4 separate regions of the Mus musculus genome follow, and regions 2, 3 and 4 are each reported to be linked to region 1. The links are microRNA targets in miRTarBase. Many come from high-throughput screens and were not tested one by one. Region 1 holds a microRNA gene; each other region holds the end of a gene's coding sequence.

What was found. Region 1 holds the annotated microRNA mmu-miR-129-2-3p (AAGCCCUUACCCCAAAAAGCAU, at 1,613-1,634, opposite strand). A microRNA usually pairs through its seed, bases 2 to 8, with sites in the 3' UTR of a target mRNA and lowers its output. Matches are read on the target gene's strand: a 7mer-m8 pairs with bases 2 to 8, a 7mer-A1 pairs with bases 2 to 7 and ends in A, and an 8mer does both.
Region 2: the mRNA of Inip is a reported target of mmu-miR-129-2-3p. Seed matches in the 3' UTR shown: 7mer-m8 at 1,418-1,424, 7mer-A1 at 915-921 and 7mer-A1 at 503-509.
Region 3: the mRNA of Cd3eap is a reported target of mmu-miR-129-2-3p. Seed matches in the 3' UTR shown: 7mer-A1 at 654-660.
Region 4: the mRNA of Prpf31 is a reported target of mmu-miR-129-2-3p. Seed matches in the 3' UTR shown: 7mer-A1 at 1,247-1,253.

The regions. Positions count from the first base shown.
Region 1 is chr2:94,239,764-94,243,162 of GRCm38, forward strand. Mir129-2 (microRNA 129-2) reads right to left here and starts at 1,690; the gene lies at 1,601-1,690. The region is part of intron 3 of Mir670hg (a long non-coding RNA gene); the gene reads right to left. It overlaps Mir129b (microRNA 129b), which reads left to right and starts at 1,615; the gene lies at 1,615-1,679.
Region 2 is chr4:59,769,311-59,772,709 of GRCm38, forward strand. Inip (INTS3 and NABP interacting protein) reads right to left here. Exons shown (of 5, transcript NM_001013577.1): 5 at 332-3,149. The coding sequence ends at 3,054. Among named protein-coding and RNA genes, the nearest start is that of Inip, 13 kb to the right of the region's middle.
Region 3 is chr7:19,354,555-19,357,554 of GRCm38, reverse strand. Cd3eap (CD3E antigen, epsilon polypeptide associated protein) reads left to right here. Exons shown (of 3, transcript NM_145822.2): 3 at 1-1,548. The coding sequence ends at 574. Ercc1 (excision repair cross-complementing rodent repair deficiency, complementation group 1) reads right to left here. Exons shown (of 10, transcript NM_007948.2): 8 at 2,383-2,454; 9 at 2,194-2,262; 10 at 1,031-1,136. The coding sequence ends at 1,083. Among named protein-coding and RNA genes, the nearest start is that of Cd3eap, 3.4 kb to the left of the region's middle.
Region 4 is chr7:3,640,271-3,643,669 of GRCm38, reverse strand. Prpf31 (pre-mRNA processing factor 31) reads right to left here. Exons shown (of 14, transcript NM_027328.4): 14 at 1,185-2,873. The coding sequence ends at 2,748. Gm15927 (a long non-coding RNA gene) reads left to right here. Exons shown (of 6, transcript XR_003946711.1): 3 at 395-496. Among named protein-coding and RNA genes, the nearest start is that of Gm15927, 2.4 kb to the left of the region's middle.

The DNA.
Region 1 (3,399 bases):
GAAAGGAGGTGGGATACAGTAAGAAAAAGACAGAAGAGTAGGTGAAGGGACACAGTGCGAAGCTATTTTTAATCTAACGTGGCTTTTCTGCCTCTCCCTCTGCAGAGCTATCGCTCCACAGACGGCCCCAGGTGAGAGGCAGGAAGAAAATCCCCCCACAGCTTTTGCTCCCTCTCCATAGCATGTTCAAATCTTTGAGACCCTTTTACTCTTTCAGAAAATACATTCGGAGGAAAAAAATATCCTTTATCAGGGGAGAAGGACCCTGATTTAGCTGTGGAGTCTGGAGTTCTCGCATTCTGTGCCTTCTTACGTACTGAGCTAGCACCGGCTGCCTCTGTCCAGCATTCTCAGCATCTGCTAGCCTTTCTTTTCTTTCAGGAGGGGGTAGAGAGAGTAGAGCTTAGGTGGTTAACTATGGGACCCCCAAAATGAGTCAGAGAGTTTGTTGAAAGCAGAAAGGTTGGGATGCGGGGGGAAATTCAGGCCCTCCCCGAAAATGGGAAGCTTTGCAGCCCCGGGGTGTTGGGCTATCACATCCCTAGATACATCCTCTAACTGCTTTTCACCCCCATAGACATTTGCGTGTGTCTGTGTGTCCTTCTGGCCCAGTCCCTAAGGGCAAGGGTGTCTAGCAGTGTTCTTAGCTAGCGAAGGGCACGGGGCACAAAACGTGTTGAAGGCCTGATTTGTGCCACTTGTAACCGAAGTGGTCACGACTGCAAGGAGTGGAGGGGGAGGAGGGGGACCCACGGGCTCTCCCCTTTGCAGCTTGCCTCCCTTCCCAGGTCTAGGAGCCTCGAGTGGCCAGCATGGGGCTGCTGCCTCTGCCACTGCTAAACAACTGCAGCTCGCAGAAGCTCCTTCCCCGCGGGGTTTTCCCTAGTTTCCGCCTGTTTCATCCTCTCCTGCGCTACTTAGTTTTGAAAAAGAGGAGATGGGTGGGTACTGGAGCCTGCAACACGCCTGAAATTAGGTTGGAAGCAGGTTCAGGAAGAAGGCTCCGGGGAGCGGGCGGTGCCTGGGTGTTTTTCCCTCTTTTTCGGAGCTACCGGATTCACGGAGATTCATCTCACCTCCTCTAGATTCCGCTCATCCTAACCGAGGATGGTTAGGGCCTACCGCCCCTCCCTCAAGGGCTTCCCCTCCCCCATATTAGATTCCAATCCTTAGGGTCAAAAAAAAAATGACCGTAAAATTTCCTAAACTGATTCATATTCTAGGTACTGACTTGGCCCTATGGCCATGCCCCCCCCCCTTATTGTGAGTGGGGATATTTGGGGTGTGGGGTGTGGGGGAACGACACAACTTCTGTAAACTTTTATTACATTTTAGCTTCTTCTCACTTCTTCGAAAACACACGCACGCCACCCGCTCCAATTCCCCCTGTGGTACAAAGTCGACTAAAAAGTTGGGGGCGGGGGACATGTCTCGGGAAAGCGAGTGATCAAAGCCTCGCGGAGCGCGGAAAGGACGGGGAGGAAAGAGCTGATTCTTCCGTGGAAAACGGGGAGAAAAACTGGGGAAGTCTCGGATGGAGCCGCTTCGGGAAGGTGCTGGCTTCGGCGGTCGCTGGTAGCTGCAGTCACGTCGCCGAGCGCGCCCTCCGCGAATGCTTTTTGGGGTAAGGGCTTCCGGCTATTGAGTTATGTACAGCAAGCCCAGACCGCAAAAAGATTCGCGAAAGGCAGTCTACCCGCTTCTTCGGTCCGCCGCCACCGCCGCCGCCGTCGCCGCCGCCTTTAGCCCAGCATGTCTCCGAACCCCGAAGCCGAGGAGACTGGATCTCCCCGGCGCGCTCCACCGCGGCTCATCCTCCCCACCCTGCGCGCCGCTCTCCCCTCCTCGCGTCCCCAAACCCATCCCTCTCTCTATCTCCAGATCCCCCGACTCAGCCTTGCACAACCTCGAAGAGGTAGTGGAGAGCGATAAGGGTAGCTCGAAGGGGGACCCCGGATCCCAGAGCCCTGCCTCCACCCCTCTCGCCCTAGCACTCCAAGCCTCCGATCCTATCTAGTCTATCACCCAATTCCCCCATCAGGGTTCTGACAGCCCTGACTGCAAGGTCGTGGATCTCTGAGCAGGTACGATCCAGATTTCCCCCGAATCCCCTCCTATCCTCCCTAGTCCCCCAGCAGAGGTTCCAGCCGTGACTACAGGCGCTGCGTAAAGAGAAAAACTCCCCCAGAGCACTAAATAAATACAGACAAGGCCGCCAGCTCATTGGTGTGGACTAAAATCGTCACCCACCAATCAGAAGAGAGCTCACATTTCTTTTTTTTTTTTTTTTCCAGAAGGGGGAGGGAGAAAAATATTTCCATTTCTAATTATTCAACAAAACCTAGACTAGAACACATTAAAATATTGTTGTTCCAAAAGCTGTCCATGACTCCCTCCCATTCTAGCCCAGGTGAGGGGGTGGCAGTGTATATTGGGAAAGAGGGATTCAAGAGAGCGACCTCTTCCATCGGGACCTAAGCCAGAAGAACCAGACGGAAAATGACTGGCAAAGATGAACATAAAACAAGCTCAAATCCCACTCTAGTTGGCCTATTTCTAGAAAATTAGACCTTTTCGAGTCCCCCTACCCCACTCTGCCCCCCCAAAGTTCTGAATGTTCACTAAGAAGGGTGAAGTTTCTCCCTCCCCCAGAGCCCCCAACCTGTCCAGATCATGGTGTCTAATGGCCCATTTGCCTCAGGTGCCCTTCCTTGTTGCCCCCCCCTTCTGCAAAATATTGAGGGAACAAGAAAGGGTGAGCTGGGCATTGACTGTCACAGTGACAGGAGATTCCAGCATCTGCAGGAGGGAGGGGAATAGAGAGCTAGAGAGGAAGGAGGGGGCAAAGTCTCTCCTCTCCCCCCTCCTCCCTGCCCTTTAAGTCCCTCCCCCATTCCATCTAGCCTAACTTAAGGGGGATGCCCTCTTCTTTATGTGCAGGCCCACCCAAGTCCCAGTGCCCTCTTGCCTAGCCCCAGGGATGCCAAAGGGTGTGATTAAACAAACGCCTATCTCCCTTCCAGTAGGGGGTGAAAAAAAAAAAAAACTTAAGTCAGGGTGGTTACTACAAGCATCACAAGAACTTGGGGGCAAAAGTTGGGTTTTGTTTTGGCTTTTTCACTTTTTTTTTTTTTTTTTTTTTTTTTTTTTGCCATCCCAGAATGGACCTGCAGGCAGGTACGCGCGCGCGCGTACACACACACACACACACACACACACACACACCCTTGGCTTATCATACCCACAGAATGCATTTCTGGACCTGGAGCCTTAGTCTCCCAAGTTCCTGTCGGCCCACCCACTCCGCCCATTCATCACCCTCCTACAGCTCTGTGACCCACCCACCCTCCTACTGCATCCCCTCCGCTTGGCTCGGTTACGGAAAGACGCAAGCACACA
Region 2 (3,399 bases), not on the chromosome of region 1:
CCCTGGGGCTTGATGGCCATGTGGTCTAACAAAATCAGTGAGCTTCAGTTTCAGTGGGAGACTCTATTTAAAAGGTAAGTCAGAGAAATTCTTATGTGGCAACCAAGGTTGGGTGTGTTCTTATATTTACTCCTTCAACAACAGTAGGTATAACTACCCAACATACCAGGGATTGTTCTGGACGCGCACACCAACGAAGGACCAGAGGGAGAAAAACCAAACTTGTTGCCCTTGAAGATGTATAGAGTAGAATATAAACTAAACACAGACATACACTTACAGAACACTTTGAAACTAACGTGCCTATTAACATATGCAGTAAACTGTTTTCTTTTTTTGTTTGTTTGTTTATTTAATGCTGATACAATGCATTAAACCATCAAGCTGCCTTTTCAGCTCAAACAGGCTGAGACTTGTACTTTAAACAACATTGGCCTAAATAAGTACAATAGTCAGTTGTGTACTGTTCCTATTTTTTGTTTTTCGAGACAGGGTTTCTCTGTAGCCCTGGCTGCTCTGGACCTCACTCTGTAGACCAGGCTGGCCTCAAACTCAGAAATCCGCCTGCCTCTGCCTCCCGAGTGCTGGGATTATAGTGTGCACCACCACTGCATGCATCACCCACCCGTGACCCCAGCAATGGATTCACTCAAGGCTTCATCCGAGTCCAGCGCTAGCTTTAACACTGCAGTTTCATCCCTAAAACTCATTCTTTTTCATACTTCTTTGGGGGTTGGGGGAGGGTTGTGCTCTCACTCTGTAGCCCAGACTGGCCTTGAATTCATAGTGATTCTCCTGCCTTAGCTGAGTGCTAGGATTACAGGCATGATCCACCACACTGGGCTTGGCTGGAAATGTGACCTTTGCCTGGGTGTCCCTTCAGTCCCTTGCCAGTTCTATCGTCTACAGACTTCTAGCCCTAGCCCAAGATGCCTGTCTTGTGCCATAACTGCTTACTTTACGACAACATGAATGCCAGAGTGGGATCCTCAACAATGTTACCTCCCCATATGCAGGTCTCTGTGACCTTTTTGTCCCTCAAACACAGCATATACCAGAGTAGATATTAATAGGTACCCACAGAAATGGGTACGTACCCGAAGCAGAGGACCACTGGAAAGTCCTCCTGGTTAGTGGGACTGGACTGTCAGCATGACAACATCTAGAACCACTACAAGATGAGCCTCTGGGCATGCCTTAGGGAATTACTGATAGTATTAACTGAGGTAGACGCTCCACCCACTGATGAGTGGCATCACTCCCTGGCTAGAATACTGGTTACATAAAGACAGCACAGTAGAATCCATTTGTTCTCGAATTCTCGACTGTGGAGGAGATGTGGCCAACTGCTTCAAGCTCCTGCTGCCTTGACCTTCCTGACCATGACAGACTGTGCCTCAAACTGTGAATCTAGATCAGCCCTTTCATCCGGGTATTTGATCTGACCCAGGAAGGGAAAACAAGCACCTAGATTACAAAGTCACATAGCAGGCAAGGTTTCAACAGCAGAAACCCTTCTCTCTGCCTAACGTCAGTAGCAGGTTCAGAAGCATGGCAGGCAGGCAGGCAGGCAGGCACAGATCTCACTGCACAGGAACTTAGCGAAATGCAAGACGAGGAAGACTACTAGGAGGTGCAGAGGGAAGCTGGATGGCCCTTTGAGGGGCAGGAGCAAGGGGGTCCCTGGGTCAGCAGCAGACACAGGGAGCAGTGTGATGACTCAGGAAGACTGCTCACTGCTGCTTCACTTGCACTGAGCAGGACGGCGTATGTGGCTGGTGAAAACACCTATAGCAAACTATCAGAAGGGAGTAAAACTGAATATTGCCCCAACTAAAGATGTTTAAATTCCCCCAACAGCAGAGAGGATGGAGATGCAGTCAGTTACCCATGGTGATGAGGCTCGGTAAAACACATCCATAACTGTTAAAGTCCTAGGTTCAATCCTTGGGTACAGAAAAATGACAGGATCCTTACAAAGTAACTCCCTCATAAAATAGAATTTTAATCATGACACCTTTGTGTAAGGTATTATAGGACTCCCTAAGCCATACTTTTCACACTTTAATCAAACTCTAATTCTATAGGGCAAAGGGAGGGTAGTGGGAGGTACATATATAAATAAGCACCTCTGTTCTTGTTCAAGTTTGGCCCTGTTGAGCAACTTGTTTAACCTATGTAAAATGGTTTAAAAGGCCTTAATTTGCCTAATTTTAAGTCTTCAATTAGATAAAAAATAGAAAATAAAACCACTCAGGCCCACCACTTCTGCAGCAACATGAAGTGAGAGTACACGTCCATTTACAGCTGCCACATTTCTTAGGCTGCTTTTCATAACAGTATTTAGTCACATCATTCATTTGCTACCACTGTAGCATTTATTTGAAAGAGACTTAAGATGAGTCTGACTGGGGAGTTTTCTTAGAAGTAGTTATTAGCTTAGAGCCTATTTCTAGATAGCTTGTTTCTTAGCACAAGCAACCACAAAGTACGTAAGCCCGCTCTTCACTTTTTTAAAAAGCATCCTCGTCTCTTTAAAGTTACGACTATTAATGGCTTTTTTGGGGTGATTTTGGTTATTTTTGAGGCACAGTCTCATATACCTTAGACTGGTCTCAAAATCACTACCTAGGCAAGGATGGCCTTGAACTTCCAATCTTCTGCCTCAATTCCTCTAGTGCTGAGATCACAGGCATGTGCCATCCTCAGAGCTTGTATGTGCAGTGATGGGGTCAAACCCAGGGCTTCCCACATGATAATTCAGTCCTTGTTGAAGGTGATGCAGAGTTCATGAGACTAAGCGATCCTGAGTCCCAGGGAAAGTCCAATGGCAGTGCAAAGAAGTCCGCCTCGGCCAGCACAGCCAGGTCCTCGCCGCCGCTCCCCGAGGTCTCAGCGCCCAGCTCCTCTTCTCTTTCCCTCACTTACTCATTCCTTTCTTTAAAGAAACAAAAGCTAAGTTCTCCAAAGTTCTGAAAGTCAGTTTGTATAGAGCTGAGTGAGAACTTTGACATTTGCTATTACAAGGTCCCTTGTCGCAGCAGGCGCTTTCTTCATTCGGGGTCAAGGCGAGGTAAAACAGGGAGAATCAGATTCCCAAAGGCAGAGTCTTGAGTTATGAAGTAGCCAGAGGAATGTGCGTGAGCATGCTGAGGAAGATAAAAAAAAACAAAACAAAACCAGCTCAGTTATGAAAAGTCACTTTTTTTTTAAACCAAGGCATTAAAATTCCTTATCCTTTCTGAATTCCTAAGATCTAGTTTGTTTACATGGACTGACCGGGACACAATTCGGATTAACACAAGGTATGGGGCATGCGTTTAGCGCCTCTTTATCTGCCTCTGTAGGGCTCTTTCTTTGTTCTCTGGCATGGGGAGAAACAGCAGCAAAGGTCACCAG
Region 3 (3,000 bases), not on the chromosome of region 1:
AGTGAGTGTGAAGAAGAGAAAGAGGTATTTCATGCAGGAGGAGATGGAAGCCAAGACAATGGAGCCCGTGGCAGAGCTGCCAGTCCCATCTGCCACCAGCAGCAAGAAGAGGAAGAAGTCCAAGGGGACAGAGACATCCCAGGTGGAGCACACAGAACCTGTGGCTCAAACAGAGCCTCCTGAGGGGACCTTCCTGTTCCCCACCAAAAAGAGGAAGAGGCAGAAGGAAGCTGATGGGACAGAGGAAGTGGATGGTATAGTGGCTGACTCTCAGCCACAGGTCATTGTGGAAGCCCAGGAGGAAACCATCCTCCTGTCCCCCACAAAGAAGAGGAGAAAGGAAAAGAGACAGAATTTGGGGATGGAGGCAGAGATGGGGCCCCCTGGAGTACTCATGGTGACCGAACATTCAGAACATGGGCTCCAGGCTGAAGTAGCTCTTGTGTCCCCCAAGAAGACAAAGAAGAAAAAGGGAAAGCGGGTGGGTGAGACAGAGGCTGCACTTCCAGATGACTTTGAGCCCCAGGGGGCTCTAGCACCCAGCAAGAAAAAAGAGAGAGGCGCACGCCTTTAATCCCAGCACTGGGCAGGCAGAGGCAGGCAGATTTCTGAGTTCGAGGCCAGCCTGGTCTACAAAGAGTTCTAGGACAGCCAGGGCTACACAGAGAAACCCTGTCTCAAAAAACCAAAAAAAAAAAAAAAAAAAGAAAGAAAGAAAAAAGAGAGGACAGAAAGCAATGGAGCCCGGGTCTAAGGTGATTGACCCAAGACAATCCGAGGAACCAGAGCCCAAGGCCAGTCAAAGATCCTCCAAGAAGAAAAAGAGGGATCAGGAAACTGAGGTGCAAGACACCATTCCCCAATGAGAGATGTCTTCCACGGACAGGAGAAGCAGCAGAGGAGACTTGCACAGGAGCCGTAATAACACCCTGGGGAAGGGGAGAAGGAGGGACTCGCCAGGCTGAGGTCAGAAACCAGCTGTATAGACACTCCCTGCCCCTCCCCCAAGCAAACACGCAGAGCCACTGGAGCCTGGGCATGGAAAATTCTTTATTGTGACACTGGGCCTAGGTGGCAGCAGGTCATCGAGGCACTTTGAGGAAGGGTTCGTGTAGTACTTCAAAGAGCCTGCGGGCCTGGGGGCAAGGGGAGAAGAGAACCTGTCATTAAAGCTGTCGCTGGCCCGCCTGTTTGGAATGGGGTTCTGCCTCTTATTCTCCTGGCTGAGGAGCTTCGGGTGTCTGGGTTCTACATGAGGCTGGCCCGGAGGTGGATGGAAATGGACCTAAAAACTAGTACATCGCTGGGCGTGGTGGCGCACGCCTTTGATCCCAGCATTCGGGAGGCAAAGGCAGGTGGATTTCGGAGTTCAAGGCCAGCCTGGTCTACCCAGAAACCCTGTCTCAAAAAACAAAAACAAAAACTAGTACATCGCTGGGCGGTGGTGGTGCACACCTTTGATCCCAGCACTCGGGAAGCTGAGGCAGGAGGATCGGAAGTGCAAGGCCAGCCTCAGCTACATTAAGTAAATAAAACAAACCAACAAAATGTCTTACTTTTGATACATGGGGTCAAGTATCCTGGGCTGGGCTGGGCTGGCTAGCTGTTTGGCCAAGGATGGCTTTGAACTCAACCTTTGATCCTCTGCCCTATATGGCTGCTGTAAGCATGCTCACCACACTTAGTTTAGCCAGTGCTGGGATCAGAGCTATACTCCCGGCCCGGGGGGGGGGGGGGGTTGTTATGGAGGCTTTTTTTTTTTTTTTTTTTTTTTTAAGATTTATTTATTTATTATATGTAAGTACACTGTAGCTGTCTTCAGACACTCCAGAAGAGGGAGTCAGATCTTGTTACGGATGGTTGTGAGCCACCATGTGGTTGCTGGGATTTGAACTCCTGACCTTCGGAAGAGCAGTCGGGTGCTCTTACCCACTGAGCCATCTCACCAGCCCCTATGGAGGCTTTTAAAACAAGCATGGTAGCTTACGCCTGTAATCTTAGCAGAAGCCAGCGGCAAGGGTGAGTTCAGGCCCAGCCTGGTGTATAGTGAGATCCAGGCCAGCTAGAGCTATATATATTAAGACCTGTCTAAAATCAATAGCCACTTAATAGAACTTCAAAGTCTAAAGTCCATTGATTTGGGGCTCATTCCTATACCTCAACCCCTGTAGCATCCCCCCCTAAAATTCTTACCTTCTGTGGGCCCAGGCCCGGGCATAAGGCTAGATCCTCCCTTGATGCGGTGAAGAGCTGTTCCAGGGACTGAGAGGTAGACTCAAGGTCAGGGCAGTGTGCCCTAAACCCTTACCTGTCCCAGCTGCAGGGGACCCCAGGGTGTGGGCCATGGGGTGGTCAGGAGGGGATGCCCAGGGGACCTCTTACTCCAAATGTAGCCAGGAGGGTCTGGCTGTCGGTCTTGTTCACAGATTTCACGGTGGTCAGACACTCAGTGGCCTGCAAGGGGAGGATGTTTTCTTGGGAGCTGGGCATGGGTGCAGCCTGTGAGTCGAGTGCTTAGAAAGCAGGGGCCTCACAAGTTTGAGGCCAGCCTGGTCCACAGCCAGGCTCAGGCCTACCGGGCCTGGGGAGATACTGTCTTCAGAAACAACAAAGGAGCCAAAGAGATGGCTCAGCGACTGCAAATACACACAGCCCTTCCAGAGGACCCAAGTCCACTTCCCAGTGCCCAGAACACCCAGAAAGATAGAAATGTAGAGTCCCTCTTTACTGCCGAAAAGCATTAGTTCATTTACAAAATAATATCAAAACATCCAAAAGTGGCCACTGAGTGGTGCTGGGTACTATGGTCACAGCAGGATCAGGATGGCACTCTGGGCTACTTAGCTGAGGGGATCACAGAGGGCTTCCTGGAGGGGGAGGCCTCAGAGCTGGCATGGGAAACATGGATTCCAGCAGAGATGACAGGAACACAGATGCTGAGGGCAGACTAGGGGGTCAGAGCTAAGGGAGGCAGGGTCTGTTTTGTACTTAAAAGACCCT
Region 4 (3,399 bases), not on the chromosome of region 1:
AGAATGGGGAACTGCTTCTAGCTCTATCAGGAATCCCTGCCAAATTATTAAGATGCAGCTTCCTTCTTATCTAGGCGGTCCCCAATTCTGCTTTTTCTAACAAGCTCCCAGGATATACTAATGGCCTTAAAAACAGTTATGATTCTCGGGCTGAGCTGCACTTTAGAATCACCGGGGGAGTTGGTGGAGGTAGAATCCAGATACTTAAGACTTATGCTAGAACAATTACATCAACAGCTAGAGTTGGAAACTAGTTATTCTTTCCCTGAAATGATCCATGGAAATTCCTGTTTTTCTTTCCAGTAGAGAGATTTGAAACCAAGGCTTAACATGCTAGGGAGGAAGACTACTATTGAGCTATTTCCAGTCGATTCTTGCCTCTCCTTTTTGACAGATTTCACATAGGACAGGCTGGATTGGACCTAGAGCTTTGCAGCAGAGAATGACCTTGAACTTCAAGTCTTCCTGCTTCCATTTCTCAAGTACTGGATTTCAGGTATGTGCTTACCACCATGTGGCTGCTTCTTCGACCTTTTAAGGAACTGGAAGTCACTGTGTAGACTAGGTTCGCCAGAGAACTCACAGAAATCTGGTCTCTGCCTGGTAACGCTGGGAGTGAGTGAGTGCCACCACACCGCAAAGCCCTTTTAAAATGTTTGAGACATGGCCTTGACACTGCTAGGCAGGCACCCCGGTTTGAACTGTATTGCTGGCCCTTTAAAAACTTTGATTGTGTACGTATAGGTGTTTAGCTTATGCGTGTCTACACCACATGTGCACCTGGTGCCCAAGGAGATAAGAAAAGGATGTCATTCTCTGGGGCTAGAGCTATAGACCATTGTAGGCTGACGTGGGTGCTGGGAATCAAACCCAGGTCCTCTTGAGGAGCAGCCATCTCTTTAGTCAACTCCCCCTAACATTTTGTGTGTGTATATGCATATGAATGTGTGCATATGCATATGAATGTACTGTGTGCAGGTGCACATGCATGTGCTTATGAAGGCCAAGTCAATCTCAGCAGCTCATTTTTTGTTGTTGCTGTTTTTGAGGTTGTTTTGCTTTGTTTTAGATAGGCCACTCATCAGGACCATACATACCTGTGTCCACCTTGTCAGCATTGGAATGGCAAATACATGCTACCAACTCCTTGCCTTTATATGGGTGCCAAGTATTGAACTCATGGTTTTATGCTGTTGTTTTGGCTTTATTTTGGTTTTGGGGTTTTTCAAGACAGGGTTTCTCTGTGTAGCCCTCAATGTCCTGGAACTTACTCTGTACACCAGGCTGTCTTTAGACTCAGAGATCTGCCTGCTTCTGCCTTCCAAGGTTCCCATGTTTTTATGAAATACACTTTACCAACAGTGCTATCTTGCCAGATCTCCCTAGCTTGCTTGCTTGCTTTCTTCCTTCCTTTCTTTTTTGGACACTGGCTTTTTCCTACAGCCTAGGCTGACCTTGAACTCAACTGTGTAGCCTAAGTACTTCCAACCCTTCTGCCTCAAAAGTCTCCTGAGTAAGTAGGATTACAGGCTTAAATACACATTTTTTGAGCTCTATCTTAGCAAAAGTGAAATCAAACTTTACGACCAGCAACCATATCTTAGTGAGTCCTCAAGACATTCTGCAGCATCTTGAATTCCGAGACTCACATCTTCATACTTCACTCCACTCAACACTGGCAAAGTCAGAATGAAGTCAGGCCAGGGACAGAGTAGGGGTTCTAAGGGAAGTGACAGACAAAGGGCTTTCCCCAACAGACCCACGGGGGACTACGATTAAGATACAGTATGTAGAGAGGAATAGAGACCAGGAAGCCCAAGATAGAAAGCCCTAACCTCACCAGCTACATCTACATTTAGACCAACAGAGCTAACCTTAAGCAGAGAAAATGGAGCCCAGCAGCTACTCTCCCTCAGAGAACGACAGACTCATAACAAACCAGACACAGTTCGCACTGTTCAACGTTCTCCCTTGAAGCCCCGGCTCGCAAGTCAGACTGGGTGGTGTGCACTTCTTTTGCTTGCCTGGCATTGGTCCCTCCCACAGGACACCCGCCTGCCTCACCCTTGCTGAGGACCTAGGCTTGGACCCCTCATCAAACATGAATTAAAACAATAGGCTCCACCATGAATGCAGAACTGGGTGGGTGCTTTCTGTACACACTTTCCAAGGCTTTTACGTGCTTCATTTTGTGTGGATGTTTCTTGGACCAAGGTGTCTAGCCTGAGGGACAACAACCCTGTGGGTCTTGTTGGGTCCTGGAGTTTTGTGGTGGCCATGATGCTGATGTTCTCATGGGGCAGGTGATGGTGTTAGAGATAGACAGGGTTTTTCTTAGATTCCAGGATAAGAGCAGAAGAGAGCTGGGTCCATGCTGCTCACACTGGAAGCCCCACAGCTCTGAGTCCTTTGGTTCTTTCATAATCACTCACACCCTCTGTTCAGAGCCCGACACTACACATTTAATTGTACTCGTTCTATAAAAGCACTGCCTTTCCCCCTGTAAGTAAAAAAGCTGAGTGTGAGGAAGACCTTTCTGCCCGTTTAGGGAAGCAGCAGCATGGATGCTGGGGGAGGCAGGCTAAGGTTCTTCATCCTTTTTCTTGGATGCTATGGCCTTGGGCCAAAGGCAAAGCATGGAAGGCTGCCTCCACCACACCACAACTTCCTGGCTGGATATCTGTCACTTCAGAAGCTCCAGTCCTTTATGTCCTTTCAGTGGATGGTCACCTGGAGTGCGGGCTCCTTCAGGTAGACATGGTGCCACTTTTCTCACCCTTGACCTTGAGGAACTCGGCCATGCTAGAGAAATACTTCTGGTTGGCCTCTGCCACCTTCTTCTCGGCTGCTTGTGGGTTCACAATCTCTAGACCCTGGGTTGGAAAGGAAGAGGGTGACAGGTGAAGTTGGGAAGCTCAGGCCTCCCTCTAGATGAGAACCAGACATGTCAGAGTCTCCCAGACACTCTTGTGGACATGGAACCATTTACAGTCCCTGAAGTCTCCCTCAGTTTGGGAGATTTTTGACACAGTGGGTGTTGGGGTAGGTCTTAGATGTCAGGACTGTTAATCTCCTCAGGTGATGTTAAAATCACCACTCCTGCCTGGTTCTGGATAAGGAAACTGAATCCCAGAGGGATATGGCCAGCCAGTTTCCTGCAAATCCCACCCATGACAGTGATGACAATGCTGGCACTATATTGAATATTTCCAATCCTCTTGCTGGGCTTCCCCTAATCCCATCACCGTCCACGCCTGCTTCTTCCTGGCACCTGTGTCTTCTAATACATTGTGTACTAGACTCAATCATCTGTGCTCCCCAACCTTCTCCCCACAAAAGCAAAGCTTGTCTCTTTTGTCTCTATGCCCAAAGCCTGGAACATGGTGGGCAGGTGCTCAG